Saccharomyces cerevisiae S288C: one gene and its partner. The gene in region 1 interacts genetically with each later gene. Each region holds a gene or a part of one and is shown on either strand. Other genes may lie near its edges. The genes, in order: URC2 and QRI1.

What was found.
Region 2: mutations in URC2 (region 1) and QRI1 together harm fitness more than expected from each alone (negative genetic interaction), as found in Saccharomyces cerevisiae (2 studies listed by BioGRID).

The regions. Positions count from the first base shown.
Region 1 is NC_001136.10:1,480,294-1,485,178, reverse strand, and holds URC2 (Urc2p), read left to right. Parts: upstream 1-1,775; coding exon 1,776-4,094; downstream 4,095-4,885. Other genes in the region: SPS2 (Sps2p), read left to right, coding at 1-1,384; peptidylprolyl isomerase family protein FPR2, read right to left, coding at 4,347-4,754. UniProt on the Saccharomyces cerevisiae protein: Probable transcriptional activator involved in uracil catabolism.
Region 2 is NC_001136.10:274,326-278,572, reverse strand, and holds QRI1 (UDP-N-acetylglucosamine diphosphorylase), read left to right. Parts: upstream 1-1,991; coding exon 1,992-3,425; downstream 3,426-4,247. Other genes in the region: DNA-directed DNA polymerase delta POL3, read right to left, coding at 1-1,701; QRI7 (putative N(6)-L-threonylcarbamoyladenine synthase), read left to right, coding at 3,697-4,247. UniProt on the Saccharomyces cerevisiae protein: UDP-N-acetylglucosamine pyrophosphorylase that utilizes N-acetylglucosamine-1-phosphate as substrate. Together with AGM1, is involved in the production of UDP-N-acetylglucosamine from N-acetylglucosamine-6-phosphate.

The DNA of each region.
Region 1 (4,885 bases):
AAGATTTTTATTCTTGTTTCTGCAGTTAATTAAATCATCCGCTGCAGTTGAACCTAATGGTGGACCGAATATTCTAGATCACAACATTATGTTGGTTAACACTAATGCAACGATCCCTAAAAAGGAACAAACTGATTTTGAGGTGATTTCTCCAACAAAACAAACACAAGTAGATGAAGACTGTAAAAAAGGCTTGTATCATATTGAGAATGCTGGAAATTTGATTGAACTGCAAGCTAAATGTTGGAAAGTGGTAGGAAACATTGAAATATCAAGTAACTACAGCGGATCTCTTATTGATCTAGGGTTAATAAGAGAGATAGAGGGAGATCTTATTATCAAGAATAACAAACACATTTTTAGAATCCAGGGTTATAATTTAGAGTCTTTGGGAAAGTTGGAATTGGATAGCCTAACTTCCTTTGTATCATTAGACTTTCCCGCTTTAAAAGAAGTTGAAACCGTTGATTGGAGAGTTTTGCCTATTCTAAGTAGTGTTGTCATTAACGGAAATATTAAAAAGATCAAAAATATTATCATATCTGATACTGCATTAACCTCCATCGATTACTTCAATAACGTCAAGAAAGTGGATATTTTCAATATCAACAATAACAGGTTTTTAGAAAATTTATTCGCAAGTTTAGAAAGTGTTACTAAACAACTAACCGTCCACTCTAATGCCAAAGAGCTGGAACTTGATTTGAGCAACTTACACACGGTTGAAAATATGACCATTAAGGACGTTTCAGAAATTAAACTAGCTAAACTTTCCTCTGTGAACAGTTCTCTAGAGTTCATCGAGAATCAATTTTCAAGCTTGGAACTACCACTTTTGGCAAAAGTTCAAGGAACGTTGGGGTTAATAGATAATAAAAATCTGAAAAAGCTAAACTTTTCGAATGCCACCGATATTCAAGGGGGTCTAATGATTGCTAACAATACAGAGCTTGCCAAAATTGATTTCTTCCCCAAGTTGAGGCAAATTGGCGGTGCAATATATTTTGAAGGTAGCTTTGATAAAATTGACCTCCCAGAGCTAAAGTTAGTAAAAGGTAGCGCTTATATCAAAAGTTCATCTGAGGAATTAAACTGTGAAGAATTTACATCACCAAAAGCCGGTCGTTCGATCATAAGAGGCGGTAAAATCGAATGCACATCTGGTATGAAAAGTAAAATGCTGAATGTTGATGAAGAGGGGAATGTACTAGGAAAGCAGGAAACTGACAATGATAATGGAAAGAAAGAAAAAGGAAAAAATGGTGCAAAAAGTCAAGGAAGTTCAAAGAAGATGGAAAACAGTGCTCCGAAGAACATTTTTATTGATGCTTTCAAAATGTCAGTTTATGCAGTTTTCACGGTATTGTTCTCGATAATTTTTTAGGTTAGAAGATTAACTTAAATACTAGCCATTTTATTTAGTTCTTATGAGATATAAATTTGCAGTAGAGATGTAGTGTTCTGATTATCTTCACCTGGAGCATAGCGTAGCCCACTTAGCATCAGCTTTTTATGTTATTTCAGGCATTACCAAAACTGGTTAAACTATTGAAACTGTTACCCTCCTTTTAATTTTGACAGTTTTTGAATAATTATTATGGTAGATCATCTTAACAAAATGAGCTCATTAGGTAGATGATTTAATTGAAAAATAGTGTTTTGATACGGTTCTTCCTTAGGGTTAAAACCACTCACATTTTGCTTACTCACCATTAAAACATCTTTCCCAGTTGTATTTTATATTTCTTTCGGTTTGCTGAACATCAGGGAAAAAAATGGATATAAACTCAAATGCCTCAGTAAGCCCCAGACCAGATGGTTTACCGATGACTGCTGGATATAATTCTGCTTCTGGAAAGGTGCGAAATAGTATCAGATCCATAATAAACCACCCAGAGGATAGTGCAAGAGCCAAAGAGCGCAGTGAAACGAACAGTCCTAAGAATAATGGCAACAAAAAACCTAGAAAGAAAAGAAAAACATTTAGTTGTGATACTTGCAGGAGAGTGAAGACAAGGTGCGATTTTGAACCTTTCATTGGAAAATGTTACAGATGTAACGTTCTGCAGCTTGATTGCTCCTTAGCCAGGAATAAAGACAATGAAATTTTGAATACTTTACGTGAGGATGGTCTACTAAAGAAGATCAACTCAATTAATCACAACCTTGGTTCTTTCTCTCATTTGAATGCGGACTCTCCCAACGAAAGCCAAAGTAGTTTTGAAAAGAATGGAACGGTCAATTTTGATAATTACATGATCGATAAAAGGCTTTCATCTTTAGAAGAGCACATAAAATCTTTACACCAGAAAATGGACTTGATAATCACCACAGCAAAGATGTCTTATAACAGCGATATCAAAGGCCCTGGAGATGATATTCAGAACGTGGATTTCAGCTCAAATAAGACGTACGATAGTCGTCTAACTTCGGGCTCAGAGACGATAAGGAAAACAGGGGAATATAGAAAAGAAAATCTTTTCTTAAATGGATTTAAGTTGAAGGAATCTCCTTTAAAATTGCTACATGATATTGATGAGAGGCTATTTCCATCGAAGGCTACATCTAAAGCTGCGAAGCTAGCTGGACAGCAAAGGCCATATGCTGTTGCAAGAGTGAACTTTCTCCATTTTTATGAGAATAATCAGGAATTATGCCATAAGCTTGCAAAAGAATTTCTGGTGAGATCCCATTTCTGGATAATTCCAGGTGGGAGAAAAGAGATAGACGTGGAATATGCCCACTCACACCTATTTATTACAAGTGTTTTTACTATTATCGCTATGAGTTTTGCTGACAACGATAAATACGCTGCAGAACAAGAAATATTGTATCCTTTAGTGGAGAGATTACTCACTAATACGTTAACCATGTTTGAAAAGTTAACAGCGTTTGATATTGAGGCTATTTTATATTGCTGTATGTTCCATATTTCGCGAAAGGCAAAGAGATATAGGCAACTGAAGTTTAATTCTCTGGTACTAAGCAATTTTGCGCTCAATAGCTTGTTACATGTAATAGATTTTTATCAGATAAAGGATAGGGTTTTGGTAAAAGAAGTGTATAATCCCGAAGATCTTTATCATCTAAGAATACTAAATTCACTAACTGCCTGCTATTTAGAATATTCCATTAGTTACGGCGATATTAGGGAACAGGATGATATGCTTAAAGAGTTTAATAAACTTGTGGCGAAATTTCCTCAGGCGAATTTTGGTGATGACATTAAAATCAGTGAGATAAATTTAGGTGACATCGTAAATGGCATCTTTATAAACCTTAAAAATTATTTTGCGCAGTGTTTGGATGACTTTAACAATGACAGATATGGAGGTAACGCAGATACTTTTATCTTTGTTTTTCCAGAGCTAAATTATTGGCTGAAAAATTGGGAAGAGCTTTTAGCAAAGGATGGCGCGGGCGTGCTATTGTTCACATTTGATTTTTATCATATCATGATATGTCGCACTTTTATCACAGAATTTTCTTCCACGCTAAAAAGCAACCAAAGGTTTTTGAAACTAATTCTTAATACGATGAAAGAACATTCATTTTCGCTGTTGAATGGGTTTTTGAGACTACCGCCAACGTTAATAAGGGGTGCTCCGATTTTTACTTGTCATCAACTAGTCTACGCCTGTTTAACTCTTTGTGACTATCTTTATTGGTTCGATTCTTCTGAACGTCAACGCGTTTTGAGTCTTTGTACAAAAGTGTACTGGCATTTGAGCACTATAGGGGAAAAAATGAATGAGGCTACTGATAACGTTGGAAAAATCATAAAATCTATAATTGATACTAGTAAGACTCGTATTAATTTTGGCAGTTTGTCAAAAGAGAATAGTGATAATGATAAAATGTCGACTAATGCTAATAACTACACAGGAGCAGGAAATCTGCACGCCGCGAAACCCGCTACTTCGCCTACTAATGTTGGTACTTTGCACGAGAACTTGTCCAGTAGTCACTTCATGATTCCTGACGTCGACCAATTCAATTCCTTTGAAGACTTTTTTCAGGATTTTTTTGATAGTTTAAAACCAAATTCCCAAAAAATGTTTACCAGCGATAAGAAGACTGAACAAACTACTTAAACTATTTTTATTAAGAGGGAAAAAATTCATACCCAAACTAGATTGAATAACATTTCTTTATATTAATATATTGTAGTTAGAGCCCTTTTATTTTATTTTGCTGCAAACATAATATACACAACCATAATTACATTGAAACTTGACATGATGGCTGGCATCCTCATATGGATATATTTTCAACTATAAAAAAAAGTTTGCCACATACGTACTCCATGCATCTTGTTGCAGATATGTGCCTGAGTGCCAATTTACCTAGGCGGCTGATTTCACGTCTACCAATTCGACATCAAACACCAAATCAGCACTTGGAGGAATGACGCCTGGGACACCTCTTTCTCCGTAGGCCAAAGAACTTGGAATTTGCAGCTTTCTTTTTTCGCCAACGCACATGCCGGCAACACCTTGATCCCAACCTTTAATTACTCTGCCAACGCCAAGTTCAAAAGCGATAGGAGAGCCTCTTGAATAACTTGAGTCAAATACAGTTCCCGATTCTAATAAAGATCCTGTATAATGAACCTTAACTTTATCACCTGGCATTGCCTTAATTAAGCAATCTTCTACCGGTATTCTCTTGATAATACCGATTTCCAAATCTGACAGGGAACCTGCAAGAATGGTGGAAAAAAAAGTGACGAAAAGGTAAATATTAAACATCATCGAGACTCAATTACTGTAAACTAGAATGTGATTGAAAACGAAAGCACTCCTTTTTCTCTTCTTAGGGTTATAGTAATGGGTCTCATATAAACCTGTATTTGAAGATGCGCTGGCAGTAATGCTAAATCTCT
Region 2 (4,247 bases), 1.2 Mb from region 1:
CTTTCGAAATAGTTGAGAAACAACTTTAATTTGTTGACCACGAGCTAGTAAATATGAAAATGGCACACCTGTAACACGAGCCATTTCTGTATAGTTAACTAACGCCATTAGTTTTTCCATAAGCCTTAAAGGCAGGTAGGCGTCTTTCAAACAGTAAACGGCCAACCTTCTTCTTGTTTCACTATCGCCATTTTGTAGATCAGAAATGATGCTATAATGTACATCCTCCTTCTGTTCACCTAAAAAGTGCGCAGAGACTGCATTCAACGTGTAGGATCTTAGTTTATACTCACGCTGAATAAATTGCAAAAGATCCAACTGTAATCGGCCGTCAATATTGACATTTTTGGTTTCTCTTGTACCATAAGCCTTCGAAGAGAACACAGACTCTTTAATTTCTTGCTTAACGGTTTTTAACCTTCCAAAATATGGGAAATCATTCACCTTTAGCGCCTTTGCACGGTTTAAAAGATAAGGGATATCAAAATTTGTAGTATTATAACCAATGATAACATCAGGATCAACTTTGATGATAAAGTTACGCCAATTGCTCAACATTTCCTCTTCAGTGGCGTGGGAAAAAATCATTGAACCTGTTATGGGTGAGCATGTATTCAGAGTAAACACATTACGAATGAATGGTTTCTTAGCGCCAGCAATACTCACAACGTTGGCAATTTGGATGACGGGATCGTATTCAGGTTCCGGAAAGACGCCAATCCTACCAGCACACTCGATATCAAAGGACATGATACGCAATGGAGCTGTATGAGACCAATCACCCTCAGCAGGATGTGCTATTAGGTTACGATAATTAATTGAAACTTCCAACTGACAAGAGGAAACTCTGTTATTAGGCTCAATCATCGAATACTTTCCTTTTGGTAATGTTATCCAGGACATACCGACAATTCCACAATCTACCATTAACCTTAAAGTGTAGGCAATGTTATCATAAGTAGTCGTGCCGTTAGAAAACCACGAGTTGAATGAAAGATGACCTCTTTCAAACGCAGTACGCAGTTTGTTGACCATATGCGGATAGGTGACGTATATTTTCCAGAATGGTAATTTGGTATCTCCGGAATAACCCCAGATAGACTGTTTAGATACAACTTCAATCGAATCAATAGCGTGGTCAAATGTTTCGTTTAAATAGTGCACAAACTTGTTGATTTGCTCCTGATCGTTAGCGTCGGAAGAATTGGGCGCTGGGACGTAAAGATAGTTCTTGAACCCTGTAACATTACAAAGTACAGAGTGTCCTTCACTAGTGACACCAAAAAACCTTACCACGGTAGATGTATTTTCATCTTTGATACCATTCAGTACGCTCTGTTCCGCATCAATTTGTTGGAAAGAAATATCATACAAACTTGGGTCAAAATCGGTTGGAAGTTTCTTACGCTCGAATGATGACAGGTCATGCTCTTCTTGGTCGGCCATATCATGTTCCATTTGCGATAGCTCTTGTTCAAAAGTAGACTCTAATTGCGTACCCATTAAATCTGTATCCTTTGCTTTGAAGCCTTGACTATTATATTTTCGAAAAGAATCACTCGGAATAATCTCTATTGTTGAAACAGGTTCACTTCCAACACCATGATCTATTGATTGCCGTTTGATTTTCTTTTCCAACTGGGGAGTATCCTCGTCATCGATCTTCACATCAACCATGGGAAGGGATCTTTTTTCACTCATTGCTGTGCGTATATGTATAAAGATTAATGCTTAATAGCAAGTGCTCAATATCTATTTTCCTTTATCCTTGAAAATTGCCTTAGATCAGTAGTACTGAGTGTTTGTTCTTCATAAGCGAATAGCAGATGTCCTCATTGAACATTTTATAGAATAAAAAGTTACGCGTAATACGAAAAATTGCCTATTACGTTAAGGCATACTTTTACCACACAAAACCAAGATCAACCGTCAAGCAAGAACGCTGCAAAGAAACGCAGATATAAAGGAGAACACCAGATCGAACTGCAACTATGACTGACACAAAACAGCTATTCATTGAAGCCGGACAAAGTCAACTTTTCCACAATTGGGAAAGCTTGTCTCGCAAAGACCAAGAAGAATTGCTTTCAAACCTGGAGCAAATATCTTCCAAGAGGTCCCCTGCAAAACTACTGGAAGACTGTCAAAATGCTATTAAATTCTCACTAGCTAACTCTTCTAAGGATACTGGCGTCGAAATTTCACCATTGCCCCCTACTTCGTACGAGTCGCTTATTGGCAACAGTAAGAAAGAAAATGAATACTGGCGTTTAGGCCTTGAAGCTATTGGCAAGGGTGAAGTCGCAGTGATTTTAATGGCTGGCGGACAAGGTACGCGGTTAGGATCCTCTCAACCAAAGGGCTGTTACGACATTGGATTGCCTTCTAAGAAATCTCTTTTTCAAATTCAAGCTGAAAAGTTGATCAGGTTGCAAGATATGGTAAAGGACAAAAAGGTAGAAATTCCTTGGTATATTATGACATCAGGCCCCACTAGAGCGGCTACTGAGGCATACTTTCAAGAACACAATTATTTTGGCTTGAATAAAGAACAAATTACGTTCTTCAACCAGGGAACCCTGCCTGCCTTTGATTTAACCGGGAAGCATTTCCTAATGAAAGACCCAGTAAACCTATCTCAATCACCAGATGGAAATGGTGGACTCTACCGTGCCATCAAGGAAAACAAGTTGAACGAAGACTTTGATAGGAGAGGAATCAAGCATGTTTACATGTACTGTGTCGATAATGTCCTATCTAAAATCGCAGACCCTGTATTTATTGGTTTTGCCATCAAGCATGGCTTCGAACTGGCCACCAAAGCCGTTAGAAAGAGAGATGCGCATGAATCAGTTGGGTTAATTGCTACTAAAAACGAGAAACCATGTGTCATAGAATATTCTGAAATTTCCAATGAATTGGCTGAAGCAAAGGATAAAGATGGCTTATTAAAACTACGCGCAGGCAACATTGTAAATCATTATTACCTAGTGGATTTACTAAAACGTGATTTGGATCAGTGGTGTGAGAATATGCCATATCACATTGCGAAGAAGAAAATTCCAGCTTATGATAGTGTTACCGGCAAGTACACTAAGCCTACCGAACCAAACGGTATAAAATTAGAGCAATTCATATTTGATGTCTTTGACACTGTACCACTGAACAAGTTTGGGTGCTTAGAAGTAGATAGATGCAAAGAATTTTCACCTTTAAAAAACGGTCCTGGTTCTAAGAACGATAATCCTGAGACCAGCAGACTAGCATATTTGAAACTAGGAACCTCGTGGTTGGAAGATGCAGGCGCTATTGTAAAAGATGGGGTACTAGTCGAAGTTTCCAGCAAATTGAGTTATGCAGGTGAAAATCTATCCCAGTTCAAAGGTAAAGTCTTTGACAGAAGTGGTATAGTATTAGAAAAATAACTGTTTGAGCTACTTATGAAGCACTTTTAACATGTAATTGAAAAGTACTCGTAATTGTGATTCAATATATATAATAAAATATTTCGTACTCTGAAAAATAGCTAAATTACTTGTTTTATGTAATTTCTATTTGGCGGATCCGCTCTGCCAATGGAAAGAGTGGCATCTTCATTGCGCGATGATTAATTGACAATGAAATTAAAGCAAACAGCGATTCTCAAGCTCTGAAATAAGTAGAGTAGAAGAAAGGATAGAAACTTTTTTTTTCATTATGATATCAATAAAAGGAACCGGAAGATTTCTCCTCGATAACTATAGAATTTGGCAGAGGCGTGCATTCAACAGACCAATACAGTTAAGAAAAGGCTATAAAGTTTTAGCCATTGAGACTTCTTGCGATGATACATGCGTTTCAGTTTTGGACAGGTTCTCAAAAAGTGCAGCTCCTAATGTGCTAGCCAATTTGAAAGATACTTTAGATAGTATTGACGAAGGAGGTATTATACCAACAAAGGCTCATATCCATCACCAAGCTCGGATAGGACCCTTAACCGAAAGAGCCCTGATAGAAAGCAATGCGAGAGAAGGAATTGATCTCATATGTGTTACAAGAGGCCCTGGTATGCCTGGTTCATTATCAGGAGGATTAGATTTTGCAAAAGGTTTAGCTGTTGCCTGGAACAAACCACTGATTGGTGTGCATCACATGCTGGGACACTTGCTGATACCAAGAATGGGTACAAATGGAAAAGTGCCTCAATTTCCCTTTGTTAGCCTGCTGGTTAGTGGTGGTCATACTACGTTTGTTTTGTCACGAGCAAT